Linked DNA regions of Drosophila melanogaster. The protein of the gene in region 3 interacts with the protein of the main gene of each other region in a pairwise test. Each region holds a gene or a part of one and is shown on either strand. Other genes may lie near its edges. The genes, in order: Pdh, Prosbeta2, PIG-S and CG10472.

Evidence for each region.
Region 1: the proteins of PIG-S (region 3) and Pdh interact in a two-hybrid assay, tested with the Drosophila melanogaster proteins (one large-scale study listed by BioGRID).
Region 2: the proteins of PIG-S (region 3) and Prosbeta2 interact in a two-hybrid assay, tested with the Drosophila melanogaster proteins (one large-scale study listed by BioGRID).
Region 4: the proteins of PIG-S (region 3) and CG10472 interact in a two-hybrid assay, tested with the Drosophila melanogaster proteins (one large-scale study listed by BioGRID).

Annotation. Positions count from the first base shown.
Region 1 is NT_037436.4:16,352,425-16,356,565, forward strand, and holds Pdh (photoreceptor dehydrogenase), read right to left. Parts: upstream 1,874-4,141; 5' UTR 1,858-1,873; coding exon 1,714-1,857; intron 1,658-1,713; coding exon 1,256-1,657; exon of another isoform or gene 1,192-1,255; coding exon 901-1,191; 3' UTR 809-900; downstream 1-808. Other genes in the region: Tcs3 (Threonyl-carbamoyl synthesis 3), read left to right, coding at 1-491, 547-789; ringer (ringmaker), read right to left, coding at 2,761-2,943, 3,210-3,605.
Region 2 is NT_037436.4:14,997,720-15,001,819, forward strand, and holds Prosbeta2 (proteasome beta2 subunit), read left to right. Parts: upstream 1-2,231; 5' UTR 2,232-2,348; coding exon 2,349-2,410; intron 2,411-2,480; coding exon 2,481-2,660; intron 2,661-2,925; coding exon 2,926-3,502; 3' UTR 3,503-3,600; downstream 3,601-4,100. Other genes in the region: mRpL39 (mitochondrial ribosomal protein L39), read right to left, coding at 340-399, 461-903, 1,077-1,177, 1,242-1,566, 1,818-1,890.
Region 3 is NT_033777.3:24,912,391-24,919,889, forward strand, and holds PIG-S (phosphatidylinositol glycan anchor biosynthesis class S), read right to left. Parts: upstream 5,475-7,499; 5' UTR 5,374-5,474; coding exon 5,319-5,373; intron 5,120-5,318; coding exon of another isoform or gene 3,564-5,119; exon of another isoform or gene 3,450-3,563; intron 3,346-3,449; coding exon 3,255-3,345; intron 3,197-3,254; coding exon 3,057-3,196; intron 3,001-3,056; coding exon 2,803-3,000; intron 2,742-2,802; exon of another isoform or gene 2,670-2,741; intron 2,516-2,669; exon of another isoform or gene 2,444-2,515; intron 2,311-2,443; coding exon 2,116-2,310; intron 2,055-2,115; coding exon 1,437-2,054; intron 1,296-1,436; exon of another isoform or gene 1,192-1,295; coding exon 878-1,191; 3' UTR 826-877; downstream 1-825. Other genes in the region: sud1 (sudestada1), read right to left, coding at 3,564-5,119, 5,319-5,373; CG11168 (uncharacterized protein), read left to right, coding at 6,262-6,365, 6,427-7,193.
Region 4 is NT_037436.4:6,060,583-6,065,242, forward strand, and holds CG10472 (uncharacterized protein), read right to left. Parts: upstream 2,329-4,660; 5' UTR 2,312-2,328; coding exon 1,852-2,311; intron 1,791-1,851; coding exon 1,692-1,790; intron 1,150-1,691; coding exon 836-1,149; 3' UTR 797-835; downstream 1-796. Other genes in the region: CG6592 (uncharacterized protein), read left to right, coding at 1-106, 165-796.

The DNA.
Region 1 (4,141 bases), on a different chromosome or scaffold from region 3:
TGCTGGGCGTAAATCACTGCATTGGACACATCGAGATGGGTCGCCTGATCACCGGTGCCCAGAATCCTACAGTTCTCTATGTGAGCGGTGGAAACACACAGGTTATTGCCTACTCCAATAAGCGATATCGCATCTTTGGCGAAACTATAGACATTGCAGTGGGCAATTGCCTGGATCGATTCGCCCGCATCATTAAGCTGTCCAACGATCCTAGTCCGGGCTACAACATCGAGCAGCTGGCCAAGTCGAGCAATCGTTATATTAAACTGCCCTATGTGGTTAAGGGCATGGATGTCAGCTTCTCGGGGATTTTATCCTACATCGAGGACCTGGCAGAGCCGGGCAAGAGGCAAAATAAGAGAAAAAAGCCACAGGAAGAAGAGGTCAATAATTACAGCCAAGCCGATCTTTGCTATTCGCTGCAGGAGACCATCTTCGCCATGTTGGTGGAGATCACAGAGCGCGCCATGGCACACTGCGGCTCAAATGAGGTTGGTTGCAACAGTTTTCCGAAATTAATCTATGAGTTAACCGACTTCTTTTCAGGTCCTTATAGTTGGAGGTGTGGGTTGCAATGAGCGACTCCAGGAGATGATGCGTATTATGTGCGAGGAACGCGGAGGCAAACTCTTTGCCACTGATGAACGTTACTGCATAGACAACGGACTAATGATTGCCCATGCTGGTGCAGAAATGTTCCGCTCTGGCACTAGGATGCCCTTTGAGGAATCTTATGTGACTCAGCGATTTCGAACGGACGAAGTGCTGGTCAGCTGGCGGGATGACTAATCACCACAAGAACTTATTTCTGTGCATCGTTTGTTTATTAAATAACTAGTGTCCATAATAACTTCATATTTGTAAAATGCATGTGTTTAGGATGTGAACGAATTAACCCACTTAAAGGGCCTGTTCCTTGCCCGTCCACTGGGGCTTAATTTCCAAAGGGTAAACGCGCTTACCCTCGATGACATAGACAGCTCCGTTCTTGTCCTTCTCCAGGACATTCAGAATGCATCGAGAGACATCAGCGGCACTCTGCTTGTTTAGCCTATCCAGGATCCTATAGGTCTCGTCACTCGTTTCCGGGAAGATGATCTTCTCCGTAAAGTTGGTGAACATGTCCGTCATTGTAGCTCCAGGACAAACAGTCACAAACTTGATGCCCGAGCGTTGATAGTACTTTTCGTTCTAATTAAGAAAGAGACTTAAATGAAAAACCTAATTCAAAAGATATGTAAGAAATTCTTGTTACCGCCAAGCACCGGGTGAAGTTGATGATGCCAGCCTTGGTGGCTCCGTAAACGGGAATGATGAACATTGGATCCAGACCCACCACCGAGCTCATGTTAACCACAATGCCACCCTTGCCGCCATTATCCTTGCCCATGTAGGGCAATGCACTCAGTGTGGAATTGATGATTCCACCGAGATTTACCAACAGAGTCCTCTGCACATCCTTGTCGTTAAAAATCCCGGCTACATTGACCACAATATCGATGTTACCGAAGGTCTTGGCTATCTCCTCATAGGTGGCTTCCACACCCTTCTTGTTCGCCACATCCATCTTGATGATCATTACGCTTTGGGTGGGATGAGCGGCCCTAAGTTTTACAAACTCCTCCAGATTATCCTGCAAATCAATGATGGCCACCTTCTAGGAAGCACTCGCTTTAGAAATTACTTCACGTAATTATGTGTAAAACAACCAACCGCTGCTCCAGCGGCCAGGAGCTGCTTGGACACCTGCAGTCCAATGCCTCCAGCTCCACCGGTCACCACTGCATTCTTGCCGCGAAAGGACATCTTGGTCTGGCTGATTCGTGTAGTAGTCGGTGGTATTCCTTGTGGCTTCATCAAGCACTGAGCTCCTCAGTTGCACTGCTGACTTGGAGCTGTAATGTTCGCCGCTTTTATACCTATTTCCCAAGGGCTATATGATATATCGTTGAGTGACTTTGGTTCGACTGCAATCAATAGCTAGTTTTCCACCTGCTCTGGGTTAGGATTATGCAACTTATGCCCATATATCAATTTCCATCCCCATCTGGTCGCTGTAGCGTTCAGTCTGCTTCACACCGCTCCGGTTTTTCGATGTCAGCTTTGCATCAGTGATAATGTCATTGTGTAGATAAAGCAATGATCTCTTAATAACTATCTTCCAGTGAAATCTTTGCTTTTAAGAAGGTACACATGTTGGGCATTTTTCAAAGATCTTACAATTAAATGTATATTTCGATTTACAAAACCATCTTAATTGCTTTAAAATTTTGGTTTTTTAAATTGTATTTCCTCCCAATACAAATTTTAGCAATGCAAATATTTTAAAGTGTATTTATTCAAGCAAAATTCTTGTGAAAACATAACATATATCTACATATGTATGTCGTATATCTTTGGTTTCCATATGTGATATTTAAATTTCTTTCACAAATTGTAATATTAAAAGTTTATCTGTTATCTTAAGACTACCAAACATGGGTTTGATTGCCATGAAATGTATATAAATTTGATTTGGATTTACTTTTGAACTCTTTTTGGGCCGCTTCAAAATTTTACGTATCAAAGGACAAAGAAGGATAAACAAAGTAAAGGAACTCAAAAATTATAATCAAAAATATAAGTTTATTTGTAAGCACTTAAATTATCACAAACTTATTATATACACAAAGATAAATTAGATTGGGAGACATTAACTAGGGAAACACAAAAGTTAGAAATACAGATTTATGAGAGGGTGAAAAACGGTGGTTACCCCATCTAGTGGGCATTGTCGTAGGTGTCCTTGTGCTGGTAGCCACTCACATATCCGGATCCATCGACCACGTTCCGTCTGCCCGCGATACCCTTGCCCTTTCCGGAGGCATCGAAACGCTCCTTGTGGGAACCGGTGTACTTGCTCGTATCCGTCAATCGATCCACGGCAGCTGCGGCTTTTCCAGCCTAAAAATGGTAACAAAATGTTGATTAGGTTTTCAATAAAGGCATAAAGTATATGGTTATGACTTTCAAAGGTTTAAAAAGATATTTTTTAAGAACTTCTGTAAGAAAACTACTTTAACAATTGATAGTTTAAATGAGTCAAAAAAAAATCATTTAAATTTTGTCATATCTAAATGGTCTTCTCGAAGTTCTTTACACTTTAAAATCAATCTTAATCATTTGACTTATATAGATCATATTTTTCACAACCAATTTATCAAACCCACCGAAACGGACACAACTCCTGGAGCTCCACAACTGGCCAACTTTTGCTTGATCTCCGACAGCTCCACCTTTTTCGTCTTGGCCAGATCGTCCAGGAATTTGTTGTAGTCGCTGAGCGAGATCTTCATGGCCTTGAACTTCTTGAAGTGGATGCCTGTATCCGTGGTGGTGATCTTCTTGTCGATAACTTTGGCCTGTTTCATCCACTTGTCACTCTGCGACAGCGTTATCAGCTTGCCATCGGACTTGGAGTCCCCGAACTTGGAGAAGGCCTTGAACTGATCCGAAAAGCTAACCTTGGGCTCATCCTCCAGCGCCAATTGGGCCAACTCGGTAGCGGGCACCTCAGGAGTTGGCGCTGGGGAGGGGCTTCCATTTGCTGCAGCTACCTCGGACATGGTGGATCTGAAAAATATATTTAATATTATATATATTTTTTTAACCTTTACTGAACCCTACAGGTGTTTTAATAGATGCCCAGTAATAAATAAACAACTACGGACAAAGAACCTTCAATTTTACAGATGGACTGAGGATCATTTATTATTAATAATATGCCTAGCCTGATAGGTCATTGTTTTGTTTAACATTTTGTAGTGGTTTCTTCCAACACGCAACTTTTCCGCTCCTGCGTAATCGGTTGACTACGGTTGTCACCTACGCAGTTCCTCACCTGTGGGCCACAACGCTCACCAACATTGCGGTGGGTCTTGTCCGTCACTGTCAACTATCTACATATGTAGGTGCTATTCCCAGACGTATCTTTGCGAACACCTTATCAGTACTTTACTCACTTCGCTTTCGCAATGATATCACAACCCATGCTGAACTGGACAAAGGCAAAGCTATACCCACCCAAAGCTAGGCCAAAGCTCTCTCAGCTAGATTTCGAGAGATGGAAATCTAAAGGCAAATTGGGAGAGACTCAATCATT
Region 2 (4,100 bases), on a different chromosome or scaffold from region 3:
GTTTTTAAAGAGACAATTAAAATAAAAGAACTGTGAGCAAAAAAGAGAAACCCTAGCATTGGCAATTAAAAGAATATAGAATCATTAAATCGTAAAATAAGACCAAAGTGTTCTTTTATATAAATTCTGCCTTACGAATGCTAAATCTATAAATAATAAGAGCTATCCAGAATTTCATTCCATAAGATAATTAGCTTGTAAGTTAAAATGGTAAAAGCAGAATTTTGTTTGCTCATATCCTTTTAAAGACGGATTTTCTTTGTTATAACAAATTAGGACGCTCTTTAATGATTTACTTTTTTAACACTTACAGTATAGTTTTAAATATTAAAGAACGTTTTAAGATAATTGCAGTTGTTGTTGTTCCTCAAATGGTTCATTGGGCAGTCGTGCGGGGCTCTAAAATGTGTTTTAAATTTGTGACACAGCTCTTTATCGAAAAACGTCGAGATATACTCACAGGTTTCTTAGAACGCTCCTCCAATACACCAAATGCAACATGATTCAGTTGGAAGCCAGACGGCAGTGCAACGCCCTGAATGCGATAGAAAGCACCAGAGGGACCCTCCTCCGCAACTTTGTGGGCAGCCGAGATGACGCATTTCCCCAAAAAGCTGGTAGACGCCACCATTGGACCGCGTGAGATGTCGATATGATCACCCAGGCGATACAAGGTGACCCTTCCATTGGTCTGCTGCGAGATGCTGGGCAACTGTTCGCTCTTATACTTGGAATCCTTGAACATCTCCTGGGCCAGATCCTGTTGGACGTCCAAACGCTCGATGCGCAGATCCTGAGCAGCCAGTTTAACCATCTCTGCCGAAAGGGCGCGCATCTCTTCTTTTCCTGGCTCCCAGTTCTGGGTTTGGAGCACAATGTCGTGTACGAAGCTACCTGATTTGACTGTGAAATGTAATAGGAGTAATTTTATAATTTGTCTCGCTTATAGAATATTCCAGACAGTATTAGTTTTAAGATATATATCTATGAAATTTTCATCCAATTAAAAGGGGGAAAGACGAAACCTAGTAAAAAAAATATCCTAATCTTAAATCCTAAAAAGTGATTCTGCTTACTATTGGGTCCAGGAAAGCTGTGGAGCTGAAGATTGGCCTCCGGCTTGAAAGCGCGGTTCAAGGCGGCTCCCAACATAAAGCTGCAAGTGCGCCAGAATGCTCTAAAAGTAAACAACATAAGCAAGTTTAATATAAATGCCATATTATAAATAGTATAGCACTCACTTGTTGACCACATGTGGCTCGGAAACATGGAAGTTAAGCAGCTGCAGAGTACAGGATTCCTGCAAGGGTCTGTGCATATCCCAGGGAACACTGCCGTCGATCAAGGCCAGTGCCGATCGCTTACAGTGCCCCTCACTCAGATGCTGGGCGCAATTGAAGGGCGTTGAGATGTTGCCGTTCATCACCAGAGTGACATCCTCGGGAAGTCCCAGATACCGCACCTCGATCTTATCGATTCGACCCACTGCATCCCGTTGACGGCGCTGCTCCTGGTTGAACAGGTCATTCCGCTTGGCTAACGATGCAGAACTGCCACTAAAGTTGGCTGTAGGGATAATTAATAAGTTAAAAGACATATTTTATAGTACAGTTTCAACAAATTGAATTTAAATTATGGTTGACTATCTAAAATAATAACTGGGATCTATAGAAATTCTAGCGATTTTTCCGCCAAGACATCAACGAACTGCCATCACTAGCCGAAGAGCTCCGCGGAACGTGAATGACTGCCGGCATTATGTAAACCACTTCCTCCATCTTTGGTCAATAAAAGGACTCCTAATTAGTGTTACTTACCCTTAGTTCTGTATTGTTGAAGCTGCCGCAGGGCGCACCAGCTTGTTTTATGTAATTTGGTGGCCGCAGACATGGTAAATTACCAAAATACTCTTCAGGGATGCAGTTCACAAAAGTGATGGTACTATGCCAAGATGGTCAGGTGGAAACAGTATATCGATATTTTTCAAACATGACTATTCGCTTACAAAAGATAAGGGGCCTTCCTAAGCACTTATTGCATGTATACTGCGGGGAATATTTCCAAACATTAAAAAGTTTTAAAATTATACAATGCAACATTAAAATATTAAAATAATACAACATTGAATAATTTAAGTTACATAAGTCAAATTATTAATAACGTCAAATTATTAATAATTTATTTCTTCAATACTATCGCTCTAGTTGAGTCCATGAATATATATCGATACAATATCGATTGTACTTCCAGCTCTAGCAAGCATTTAACAATTTTGTTTGTCATCGCGCTCGGCAGAATTAAAACCTTAGTTTTCCTTGCTAATATAGTTGAATTGAAGAATATATATAATGGATTTGGATAACGCACGCGATCTGCCCCGCGCTGGTTTCAATTTCGACAACTGCAAGCGGTAAGAATCGTCCAAGTTGTTCAGCAATACCCCATCGGCTTTTATTAATTGGTGTTTTATTTGCTTTCAGCAATGCAACTCTTTTGAATCGAGGCTTCAAGCCACCGACCACCACCAAGACGGGAACCACAATCGTTGGCATCATCTACAAGGATGGTGTTATTCTGGGCGCCGATACGCGAGCCACCGAGGGACCCATTGTCTCGGACAAGAACTGCGCCAAGATCCATTACCTGGCCAAAAACATATAGTAAGTCCACCGACGGTATGCGCCTTTAAGTGCACAGGGAACCTAATAATACTATAAGAGGGATTACGGTATTTTTTCCTGCATTTCAAATGTGGGCCTATTTCCTTGTCCTCGCCGGCTTAGATCAATTTGTCTCCAATTTTAAGGGGCCCGTGTTTTAAGTTGAGGATCTTAGGGTGTAGCTTATGTTGCTCTAACTTAAAAATATGTGTACTTTCTAACATGCAAGTATCTCCCAATACCTAACGAAAATATTTACCTTCAGCTGCTGTGGAGCTGGAACCGCTGCGGACACTGAGATGACTACGGATCTCATCTCCTCCCAGCTGGAGCTGCATCGCTTGCAGACAGATCGTGAGGTGCGCGTTGTGGCCGCCAATACGATGTTGAAGCAGATGCTTTTCCGCTACCAGGGTCATATCAGTGCCGCTCTGGTGCTTGGTGGAGTGGATAAGACTGGACCCCACATCTATTCCATTCACCCACATGGAAGTTCGGATAAGCTGCCGTACGCCACCATGGGATCGGGTTCCCTGGCCGCCATGACCGTTTTCGAAAGTCGCTGGAAACCTGACTTGTCCGAAGAGGAGGGCAAGAAACTGGTGCGCGATGCCATCGCCTCCGGAGTGTTTAACGATCTGGGTTCGGGATCCAACATCGATCTGTGTGTTATCCGCAAGGGCAGTGTTGAGTATCTGCGCAACTATGAGCTGGCTAACAAGAAGGGCAAGCGCCAGTTGGACTACCGCTTCAAGACCGGAACCTCAACCGTGCTGCACACCAACATTAAGGACCTACTCGTCACCGAACGCGTCCAGGCGGTGCCCATGGAGATTTCTTAAAGCGATTCCCCTTTCTACCCTTTTCGTACATTTATTATAATAAAGCTTCGGCAGGATCTATATGGAGTGGTTCAATAAAGGAAGCCATGCTTCATCTTAAGTTGCTGTGTTTTTTTCTGGGGTTTTTATTAGACTAGCGATACTCCTAGGCGGACAATGCTTTGGTCATTAACGAACTCCTAGCCAGGGACCAAAAAATAATTATATTACAATGTTTTCCAAATTTAAGAATGTTTCCACATGGTTAGGGCACAGTGTCGAGTTTTGGTCCATCAATCTCTTTGTACTTTTACGATCCAGATTTTAAATAATTATTTTAAATTTAAATATTACCATGGAGCAATGATTTGAATTATTAAATACATTTAAATTAGGTAAAACAAAAAGGGGGTTTTGGTGATTTACGGACCCTGGCATAAATTAAATAATAACTATAAAAGAACATTAAAGCTTAAGAATTAATTTAGCTAATATCACATGGTACAGAGGGTCAATTCCTTACAGTTGAAGGCACTTTCCATCTCCTTAGAATAACGGGTTAATTGGCACCAAGAATTCACTTGATTGAGTCAGATCATACACACTCCTTCTAGGACTA
Region 3 (7,499 bases):
TGAATTCCATGTTTAACGAGTTTTGACAGCCGCATTTTTGTAGCTTTTTCGTTTGCCTTCATCTGCGCATTTGCAATGGCATGCAATTGCGATGGCTTTGTCTAGTTTAAAAAGATATACCTCACATTCAAGAATACCCACAAATTCCAAATATTTGTGAGAAACTGTTAAAAAAAATTCCAACTCTACATACTTTCAAATTAACAATAAATTTAAGGAGGTAAACAGAAAAACCATTAAATTCTACCTATTGATCACTAACTAATGAAAATGATGAGCTAATAGAATAAGCATTCCTTTAAGCAAGTAATTATAATCGGTAAGTGATATTTTGAAATCAGTCGGAAACAAGACTTATTGGCAATATATGACTCACCCACCGACTGCGTGTCTGGCTGGCCTCCTGCCACGTCTGACATTCATCCGGCAGCGATCTCGCCGCTGAACCTGACCTATACGCGCCGTTCACACGCTGAGCGGACCGTGCTGGTCCGCCAGCAGCCAAGGCATCAAAATACAGCACTCCCAACGTTGAAAACTTTGGGAAAGATTAGTGGCACGTGGACTTGTTTTCAAAGCATTCAACTCTCTATGACAGATCAAAATTTTTGAGTTTTAAATCCATTTCCACCAGGTTTCTTTAAGATCTCATAGACCAAAATGTTGGCACGAATAATTTCTACCTACTTGTTATGCGCGGCAGTCTACAGTTTGAATATGCTGGAATACTATAGAACTGGCAAATCTAATCGACCGCGAGGCCCTGACGATGACATGTTCTACGTAAAACCGAAGTGAACCAATAAATCGCACCAGTAACAGCTTATAAAGAAAATATTGTTTTAATGAGGGATGATACTATTTGGTTATGGTTCGTTTACGACTGCTTCTCCTTCCGTCTGGCCTGCAGCACACCACGCAGCATGTTGAAGGAACTCAGTACAGGCACCATGATGGGCAAGAAGAGTGGAATGTAGATGGCGTACTTCTGCTCGTCCGGGAAGTACAACTGCGCCAGCAGGCTGGCGTCAAAGAATCCGCGCTCCGAGGCCACGAACGCACGCTTGGCCAGCACCGAAGCGTCCGCCAGTCGGTGCTCCAAAAGAGCAGCCTTGGCAGCCAAGATGTCGGCATAGGAATTTGTAATGGCGGCACCCACCTCGTCGTCTATCACAATGTAGCTGATTTGATCTAAACGAGAGGAGGAAGCGATTATTAAATAATATTGTCCAATTAAGGTGGTTATTAAACTTCTCAAGCAGTACAGATTCAATAAAAATAGCGTCAACCATTTTAAAAGCTACTTAATTATAAAGCGGAAATTGCAAATAGTTCATTTTTAATTGTCGAAGAGCCCTGAGTTTTGTATAATATCAGAAATAGGAATAATAAAAATGTTGACTAAACATCCTTCATTGGTATCTTTAAAAACGTACCCAACAGTTTGATGAGGCTCTGGAGCGTGCTGCTTGCTGTGGATATGTGTCGAATGGCACTGCGTCTTAGGTATGCTTCATACTCCCAGCGACGTGGCTCCAGTTGCTCGATATCCACCACCTTAACGCCCTCCATCTGAAGCTCACTGCTGATGTCGAGCAGCTTGTGCAGCTGGTCCAGCATCACCTGCATGTTGTCCGTGGTGCTGACATGGTAGGGAACTGCCTCCTGATCGCTCATGGCCGCAAGGCACACATGCTCTGGCGGATTAGCAATGATGAAGCCACCCCAGGGTGGCGAAATGAAGGCATCCACGTCGTTCCGCGTCAGCCGCTGATCCTTGCTGTTGTAGATGTGAAGCGGAGCGATGTGGCACGGTGGAATGTACACCACCAGGTTGATGGCCGGCTTGTCGGTGGTGCTGGCGCTTAGATTCTGGGCAATCGATGTCAGCAGATGAGGCAGAGCGGTTTCCTGGAGGGCGTAGTGTCGCCCCAATTTGCTCTGGTCGCGCACCTGCTTGAGATCAGCCTCGATGGCCACCCGGTACTTCCACTGCGATCGCACCGTGTAATTGGAAACACCGGACACCTTAGCCAACCAGGGCTCAATGTAAGCTATTGAAAATGTAAATTGGCATAAGTAAGTGAAGACTTTTTGTGGTTTTTCAATACTTACTCTTCACAGCCATTGCTATGTTCCACTTGGCATGGGTGAGTCTCGGTTTCGGATTCAGGACAGAGACAATCACATCGTAGGCTGGTTGCGGAGCTTCCGACTTGGCGCCCATCCGCTCATCGGTACTTAAAATTTGATTTATGCGATACGTCTGCAGGATCTTGGCGTGCAGGAGCTGGGCGATTTTGTTGGAAGCTAGGAGGTGTTAAAACAGCATTATTAGTTTAGCTAACTAATCTTTAATTTACTAGAGTAATTTTAGCTTAGTCCTTGAAATTTTAAGGAAAGGGTTTCATTGGGCATTAAAAGTATTCGAAAGCATTCGTAATCCTCGATAGTATAGTGGTTAGTATCCCCGCCTGTCACGCGGGAGACCGGGGTTCAATTCCCCGTCGGGGAGACCGATAAAATATATATTTCTTTTTAAAACCGCATTATCATGTAAATAATAAATTATGCGCTATACTTCTACTTTTAGAATTATTTCAATAATAGAAGGTGAAGTAACAGACAATAAAAGATTTGAAAAAAAAAAAAAAATGAAAATCTCATTTCTCCCAGACGGGGAATTGAACCCCGGTCTCCCGCGTGACAGGCGGGGATACTAACCACTATACTATCGAGGACCTTAAAAACTTCGGACATAAAAAGCCAACAAGTGTTTCCGTATCATTGCAATAGACTCACGTGTATCACTTCGCATCAGTGCCGATCTTTCGGTGGTTAGTAGCAGCTCCTCCTGCAGTTTGGGCCACTCGATGAACATGAAGTCGCCAACGCTCTGGACATGGTTCTCCAGCAACAGCTTCTCCAGAGCAGCTGGCGTGTGTGCTTCCTGGGTCATTGGCGTAGGAGATAGCTGCTTGAATTCCACAGACCATATTTCTAATGGGAAATGCATGCCGTTTAGAAATATGAATGGATAATGAATTTGCACCTACCATTGTCGCTGAAGGCGTTCTGCAGTTCGGCGATGAGCAACTGGCCACGACTGGTCTGTTGTGTGTAGATGGCCACCTGCACAGCCGTTTTGATCGGAATTTTACTCAGACTCAAAATTTCCGTCGAGGGCAAATTGACTCTGCGATTGCAACATTTAGGTATAATTGGAAAAACGCCGCCAGACATGGTTGACTCACCTGTAGACTGTGGTGGTGCGCCACCACATGGGCACGCCAATTCCAATGATGACCACGATAAATGCTAGTGTAGCCCCGATCCGGAACTTATCTGTAAAGTTAAAGAGAAGTGTTTGATTAGTTCCTGATTTATCGCGGTCGTAAGCGTTCTTTGGGTTCACACTTTATTACTTCGACAAAAAACTATAATATTTTGATTTGTGTTTTATAAAGTTTATTATGTAAATTAGTTTCTGTACAGGAGAACGGTATGAATGTTAATAGTCCTTGACGAGTAATTGTGCGCATGTTGTGAAACAGGATCACATGCTACTCCTTGTAGCTGCACGAAATAACAAAAACAGGTCCCTTTTCAAGGGGCGTGTTGCGCGACACGTATTTGGTGAACTTGGTGGTGCCCTCGCACCGGTATACTATGTTCAGGGCGTTGTCCACCGGCGTGATAGTAAGCAGAACGGAATCGTCCTCTTCCTCGTCATCGTAGTCCGATCGCCTTCCGTCCGTCGGTGCTTTTGCTGTTGGCATTTCGGCGTCGGGTGCGAGGTATGTGATCACCGCTGCTCCTTCTGCCGCGTTCAGGTAGTAAACCAGGTCCAAAGTGTTCTCCTCGCTGGTCAAACCGTCGCCCAGCACTGTGTAGTTGCCGTGGGACCAGCGCTGCAGTTCCACGCTGCATGTTGGACTTTCGGCATCGGTGCCTGCCAAATCCAGATCGGTGAAATCTCGCAGCAAATCAAACATGGCGTGGCTACGGAACAGTTGCAGTAGTTCCAGTATGGTGCCTCTGGCTGTTGTCAAATCCAGCACTTCATAGTTGTGTGCGTTTGCGGGTCCCTGTCTTCGCCACTTCAAGGTATCCGAATCGGCCAACAGCTGCGACCGGGCCAATTCGAATTTCTCTCGCTTGAAGAACTCGTATAAACAAATCTCGGAGTTTTCTTCGATCCGCTTTTGGATGCTCCGGCGGGTGGCCCCCTTTAGATACACGTTGTTTAGAAACAGGCCAAGCGGTGGCCTATTAAGGCCATCAGGTTGCAGGTAATTCAGGCGGGGAAAGGCGCGCAGGGAGTCGGCCACGAAGGCCTCATTGGTATCGCCGTGGAACCATCCGTTTATGGTAAGACGCGGGTAGTCGAATGTAGTAACCTCGCCTACTTGGTGGAAGGAGCGCGAGCCCACCTTGAAGAAGGCAAACTGGTTGTCTTTGGGGGCGATCTTTCGCTGCACTGGAAACTGTGGAAAGCACTGATCGTCGCTACCGAAGATCTCTAGGCATCCGCCCTGCTCATCCGTCCATTCCTCCGCTCCTTCCCAAGGCGATAGATAGTAAATGAAGGCCACTTGTCGGTCCTTAAGCAGATCGTCGTGCACGAGCAGATAGTCGCCGCAGGTGTACATGCTGCAGGAGGCGGACACATAGTCCAGCTTGAGGTTGGTAACCTTCTCCAGCCAGGGACGCACTTGTTTGCGCAGCACCTGCAGGAAGTTGGTCAACAGTCGGCAAGCGGGCATGTTGGAGAGGTCGGCGCTCTGGTAGAACTCATACAAATCCATCTGTTTGCGCGACCACTGCACCTTCTGGATGATCTCGGCGACCAGCGCCTGGCTTTGGCCCTTCTCCAGCATGCCGGGCAGAAGGCAGATTTGAAAGGGATCCGAGAAGACCTGAGCACCGGTTTGCGTCTCCTTGGTCCCTTGGCTCTTCTCCTCCGTCCAGGCTGTTTGGAGCCACTTGGTAAGTTCCGGTTGCTGATACGCCTCGTTCAGGAGCACTTCGTTCGTTTCAAGGATGTCGCCCAGGCGCAAAAGCTTCCTGTGCGGCTCGCCCACCTGATCTGCGGAATCCTCCTGCTCTGCACGACCATCTGCAAGGGCAACATAGTGAATGGGTTTGCATTAAGCGAGGCAAACAGGGGCATACCTTAAACTTTAATTTGGCTATTTTTTACGCACACCAGCACTCACACACGCGTTATCAAAGGCAAAGGCAAAATCAAAGGCACCGATGTGCCGGCACACCTCGCTTTATCGTTTTGGGGCAGATTTCTCACTGTTTCCACTTACCTTCGTCCTTGTCTTTTCTCCTGGGCTTTACTGGACTGGAGCTCGAGGTTTCCATGATGCTGTGAGTCAAATTTTCGGTTAAAAACGTGAATTTTTGCCAGGGAAAATAAAAAAATTGGCTTGTGCAGCTAGAGATGGTAGCTCGGAAATATCGGTTGTTCTGTGCAAGTGTTGGGTAGTTAGCTTATTCCACGCAGTATCAAATACCTAGCTAAAGTTTAGTAGCTAAAAACTTTTGGCATTATATTGTAAACAATAAAGGGCGTATATAAGTAATAATATATAATATAATAATATATTGAAGGCATTCAGCATTAGCATTCAACTCACTAATCACACTTTCATTTTATACTGATCATCACTGATTGTACGTGAGTGTCGTGTGTTTCGTCGTCGCCTCACGCCTCCATCCCTAGCCAATTAGTAACGAACAATTGCTCGATCGGCTCCACGTAAATAAAGTTTAGATCACAGCTTTGTTGATTGCTTATCGCGGTGGCAAATATAGTTATTCGTTTATGGCTGTAAACTTTCGAAACGGACGTGGACATAGCCGGTAAATTAAAACTTGAAGATAAAACCTAGCTGGTGACAAAGAAATTCCAATTGGAGCAGTCCAATGCCGTGGAATGACCTTGGAAGAGGCGGAGCCACCATTCAGCCCTCCATATTATAAACAAAAATACTATTGTGGAATGTTCACAGCTATTTTGTATAAAAAAAATATTTGGCTATCAGTCTGTGCGTGCTAGGGCCAAACAGCTGATTCCGCCTGGCTGCCACCTGATTTGTTGGGGGTGTGAGTGGGGCTGGGGCTGTGGTATTCTGTATGCTCGCGATGATCTCATTGTGTTGGAATCGGAGCAAAAGCTAAACTAAACAACTTGACATGTGTTCTTCTGCTCCTGTGTAGCTACCTAGTGTTGGAGGATACGGAGGAGCAATGGGCAAGGATCAGCATTTGCTGGAGGCTTCGCGAGCCGGCGACATCAAGACGGTGGACAAACTGCTGGAGCACTCGAGCAAACGACATGGCCCGCTGTCCAGGTGAGTCACCAGCAGCAACTGTTGTTATTCCAGGTAGTTTACTACAGGTTTTCCTTTACAGTTTTAGGCGAAGTCCCAGCATCAACTGCCAGGACATGAATGGCTACACTTCGCTGCATCACGCCTGTCTAAATGGGCATAGCAACATTGTACGGCTACTACTCTCCCACAACGCGCTGTTGGATGTGCCTGATATACGTGGCTCGACACCTTTATTTCTGGCTGCCTGGGCTGGGCACCAGGACATCGTCAAGATGCTGTTGATGCACTCGCCTACGGGAGCCAATCCGAATGCCCAGACTATCGAAAACGAGACGCCGCTGCACTCAGGCGCCCAACATGGCCACAATGCCGTGGTGGCCATTTTGCTGTCCTATGGCGCCGATCCTGCCATACGCAACAATAGCTTTCAAACGGCTCTGGATTTGGCAGCGCAATTCGGACGCCTTCAGGTGGTTCAGACCTTGCTCCGTGTTTATCCCGACCTCATATTGCCGTATAAGCGTTTGGAAGATGACAATGAAGAGCTGCTGGGCTGCATGCCCATAAAGCACATATTCACGCACACCTGCCTGCACCTGGCCAGCAGGAATGGGCACAAGAAGGTGGTGGAAACACTGCTGGCGGCCGGCGTCGATGTCAACATACTCACCAACGCTGGAAGCGCTCTCCACGAGGCGGCTCTCTGTGGCAAAAAGTCCGTTGTGGTCACTCTGCTTAAGGCCGGTATCTACGTACACGCCACCGATGGAAACGGACGCACAGCCCTGGACATACTCTCCGATTATCCGCCGCATGTGACCTACGACATTGTGGGCGCCATAAACGGTGCGTACGAGTAAGAAGTAGAAGAAATACAATAAAGGGGCTATGGGTAGTGGCTGGAAATGCTTATCTTTACTGATATCTAAAGTTAATACAGCTCTTCATAAAGCTTTGTAATTCAAAACATTTATTTACTCTATTTGTAATAAATGTTACACCCTATTTATTGAAGGCAACCAAATAAGATCGAAATTATTTTATTGCTAATATAAAGCTGTAAATATATTCTTGAAGTTATGTGAGTAAGCGCAGACAGTAAATAATTGATAACGATTTCAACAGGCTTTATTATTTGAATCTTTAATAGTG
Region 4 (4,660 bases), on a different chromosome or scaffold from region 3:
CTGATGGTGCCAAGCGAAAACTTCCAAATCTACCCTACCTGGAATCCAAAGAGATTAAAGGATGACATTGCTATAGTAAGACTCCCTCATGCCGTCAGCTTTAATGGTGAGTTCTGGTCCTTAACAAAGTGAACTACCTATCTCTGAAATATACATAATTTTAGAGCGCATCCATCCCATTCAATTGCCGAAGAGGCACTACGAGTACCGCAGTTTTAAAAACAAACTGGCCATCGCATCTGGTTGGGGTCGTTATGCCACCGGAGTCCATGCGATCAGCAATGTGCTGCGCTACGTCCAGCTGCAGATAATCGATGGACGGACTTGCAAATCCAACTTCCCGCTATCCTATCGAGGTACAAATATATGCACCAGTGGAAGGAATGCCCGTTCAACTTGCAATGGTGATTCGGGAGGACCTTTGGTTCTCCAAAGGAGGCACTCGAAGAAGAGAGTCCTGGTGGGAATTACATCCTTTGGCAGCATATACGGTTGTGATCGAGGCTATCCGGCGGCCTTCACCAAAGTTGCCTCATATTTGGATTGGATCAGCGATGAAACTGGTGTAAGTGCCCACCAGGATACCACGGAGGCAATATTTTTCGACCAGTATGTGAGGGAATATGGGAAACCACGTCAAAGCCGACGCTTGGAAACGGAGGAGCAGTTGGAAGACGATGTGCCCGACGAACTAGATGTGCATCCGAGACCCGCTTCCGATGAGGACATCTCCGAGAATGTCAGACCGCGAACACGGTCACGCCCGCATTCCGAACACGAGTTCTATTTCTTGTAACCCAAAAATAAACGTTTATTTTAAGATCAAAATCAACGCTTAGTCGCCGTTGTTGACCACACCACTCTTCTCTTCGATCCAGTCCAGGTAGTAGGTGATACGGGTGAAGACACCGGGCCATCCCACCTCGCAGCCGAGAGCAATGCCGAAGGAGGTGGCTCCAATCAGGGTGTTGCTGCCGTCATCCAGGACCAAAGGACCGCCGGAGTCGCCGTTGCAGGTGGAAATTCCGCCGGTGGTCTTGATGCAAATGTTGCTGGCGGCAACCAGACCGAAGTACCAGGGAGAGCAGCCGCTGTTGTTCATGATGGGAACCGTAGCGTACTGCAAAATGTCGGTCGCTCCGGTAGCAGCTGTGTGGAAAGTAAGGAAATATAGTTTAGAACAGTTCTAAGATATTTATAGGAACTACGATTAAAAACATTTTTGAAGATTAAAAACTCATTAAAAAATTAATAATAGAATACTAAACTAACAAAGGATTATAAATAAAGTGTAAAAACAATGTTGCGAAATAACAACAAAAGCAGAAAAGAGTCCATAAAAATCGAATTTTGATAATAAATTTTAAGTGGCCTTTTAATCCAAAGGTAAAATAAAGCGTGAAATTGGGTTTTTTCGATCGTAAATTGCATTAACGAAATACCAAAAATAGAATTTTCTGATAATTTTAGTCACTTTCTAGAATAATTTTGGTTTCTTTTACTTAGTATTTAGTATTTAATATTTAGTGTTAGGATAGATACATTCGCCTCTATTCTACGACCTAAACTAACTCTCTAACCTAACTCTCACTACATATTTTTCGAGTGCTAAACTTGCTGGTTACGTTAAAAGAGCTTAACTTTCTCTAGTAGTTATAAAATTGTAGTTCAAGGGTGTAAGGGTCACTTACAGTCGCTGATCTTGCCCCATCCGGAGGCAATGGCATTCTCTCCGCCGTAGGTGCTGTAGCTGTCGGATTTCACGGGCAGCTTAGCGGGCTGGATGTACTCTGTAATGTATATTAGATAATTGAGAATTTCTGCTATAAAAACCAGTAACGAAGCACTCACTGTTGAACTCAATGGGCACTGGCAACTTGATCAGGGAAATGTCGTTGGTGATGGTCTCGGCGATCCAATCCTCGTGCACGATCACATTCTTTGTCTCCACGAAGATGATCTGCTGTCCCTCCTCCTTGGCGTTGGTGCGATCGTGGGCGCCCAGGTAGACATCCACTCCGGTGGTCAGGCTGTCCGTGCAATGGGCGGCGGTGATGATCCAGCGGTCACTGATGATGGTGCCTCCGCACCAGGCAGCTCCTCCAGTGATGTACAGCAGTAGTCCCACCTGGTAGGGGAACTGGTTGGGCTCGGCAATCTGTCCTCCAGTAATCCTACCGCTGGGCAGGGTCTCGCCATGGACCTTGGGCATCGGGGTCTCGATGTTCAGGTTCTTGACCGAATTCCAGTCCACAGCCTGGGCCCCAAGAATGGTGGCCAAGAGCAGAACCGTAGCGCAGGCGAATTTCATTTTGATCACAACTAAAGTGTTGGCCAAGAACTCGGGCACTTTTATACGGATTTTAAAAGGAGCGTGGGTATCGTAATTCATTGATAATCTTTGGTGAATTAACCCGGCTGTAGTTAACCGAGGTGATTTATAATCGTCTATTTGCCACTACTGATAGAGCCGATGCTACCGATATTCCAAGTGATAAGCAGGGCAAGCAAACCAAGAAGTGTGAATCGATTTGGCCTATATTGGCAATAAAACCCAATCATGAGCAGATTAATCAGTTCGTAGTAGGCTTATCTATTGCAGTGATGACAAACCAAAGGTAATTAACCATTTAACGATGGTATATTAAAGGTTTTCTGAAACTAGTATTATGTTGACCTAAGACTTATAATAATAATTTCTTAAATAGAATATTTTACTAGAACAAAGCAAATCACCTTTGGAATGTTATATTCTTTTGATAATGTAATTGTATTATCTTTGCTAGAGCTTATCTGTAACACTTGTATTGGCGGCGATAGCAAAACCGCCGACATCGATTAGCAAAGGGGTTTTGTGATTTAATTGCATAACCCATAGTGCCCACATTCATAATTCTACCAGTTTAAACTGCGATGTGCCTATGATATGAGTAAACAGTCCGATCGTACGTGTGAACTTCCTGCCGACTCATTATGATGTCATAACAGCCGATGCACTTCCCTCAATTCAATTAAAAGGTTCGGTATTTTCAAAACAACTTCCAAACTTAATTAAAGCATGATACTTATGGAATCAAATGGAAATAAAATAAGTAAAAAAACAAAACAGCTGAAACAAAAGCGGAGAACTAAGCGAGACATGAATCAAAACGGAAATGGATTTAATGCAACAATTTTTGTTTGCTCAATTGAAGGTCGTCTTAAAGTTGAGCGGGCCCAAACAAAAGCCGTCAGTCACAATAATCTGGCCGAGACGAAGTCTAACTGGCCACAAGTTCACAGAGAAGAGCCACAGAGAACCCCCGTACCGTTTCCCATAGAAGGACAGATTTACCCATTTAATTAGCACAGCTTTCTAAAAATTATACAGCTCAAACGACACCTGTCAAGTGCCCAGGTAGGCAGGCACACATAAAACCGAATTACCCATATGACACTATCTCGTTATAAATCTAAAACATAGCCGTTCTATTAGCTTCGCAACAATCGTTGATAGATACATTTAGCAAATTGGCAATAATAAATGGCAAAAGTCCTTGAAGCAGGCCCACCACAGCAGAGCTAATTAAAACATTAAATGCGTAGCAAACTTTTAAACTGTAACAAAAAACACATAGCCAACTGAATCCAAATCAAACTGGGTGTGAAGCTCGTTTCAGAGGGTCGAACACTTAAATACACTAGGATGTTCATAAAGTCCAACCATCAGAGGAGAATAACTTTACGATGTATATCTAGTGTGAACAAACAAAACTATGATTAAATTTAAATCATCAAACTCTGAAACCGCTGAACTTCAACGGCTGTTGATCCAATTTCATTGATGATCCACATATCCCCACATGATAAAAATATCTTAATTCAAATGCATGGCAAATGTCTAATCTTATTTATGTTACATACACTTAGCAAGTGTATAATAATAATGTAATTTATAAGGCGGGATTAAACTGGTTTAAAGCAGCAGCGGTCAAGAGAACAATATTTTCGAGTGCAGTTGTAATGAGAAGCGAAATTATTTGATATGGGTGCGACTTCATAATTAATAAAAATGCATACATGCGCCGCCGCCCCCGGTGTGTAACATCTTAAATATCTTAAATTGAAAACACGAAATTTGTAAATAAATAAGATAAAAAGGCATAAACACATCCAAATATTAATTTAACAGTTAAGCTCTGAATGAAATATATGTATCCGTCTAATTGCATGCACGCACTCTTACACAGAAACACAACAATCATATGCAGAATTCAAATCGAACGCGTTCAAAATTAATTTGATGTGTAAATCTTTCAAAAGTGTGTCTCGAAAAGGAATAATGATGATTGCCAGTTTAGGAAGGAGGAACAAGTAGTCCTAATAAGACGAAGACGATAATAAATAAGATAAGTTACAATCGTAAATAAGAAAATACTTTTACTGGAAAATGTTATGAGTTTGAAGAATTTTTCGCACTTATGTGAAATTCGTTTGATTAAAATCACAAGGAGTTTTCTCGACATAGGAAGAATGTTTATCTAATCATTTAAAATATATATGTTAATTAATAAAAAAAACCAAAATGTCTTAGCGGAAAAGTAATTTACACTGTTAATTGTTTTTTTTTTTTTTCAAACCATTGTGAAATACGTATTAGAATTTAATTTTTTGATGCACT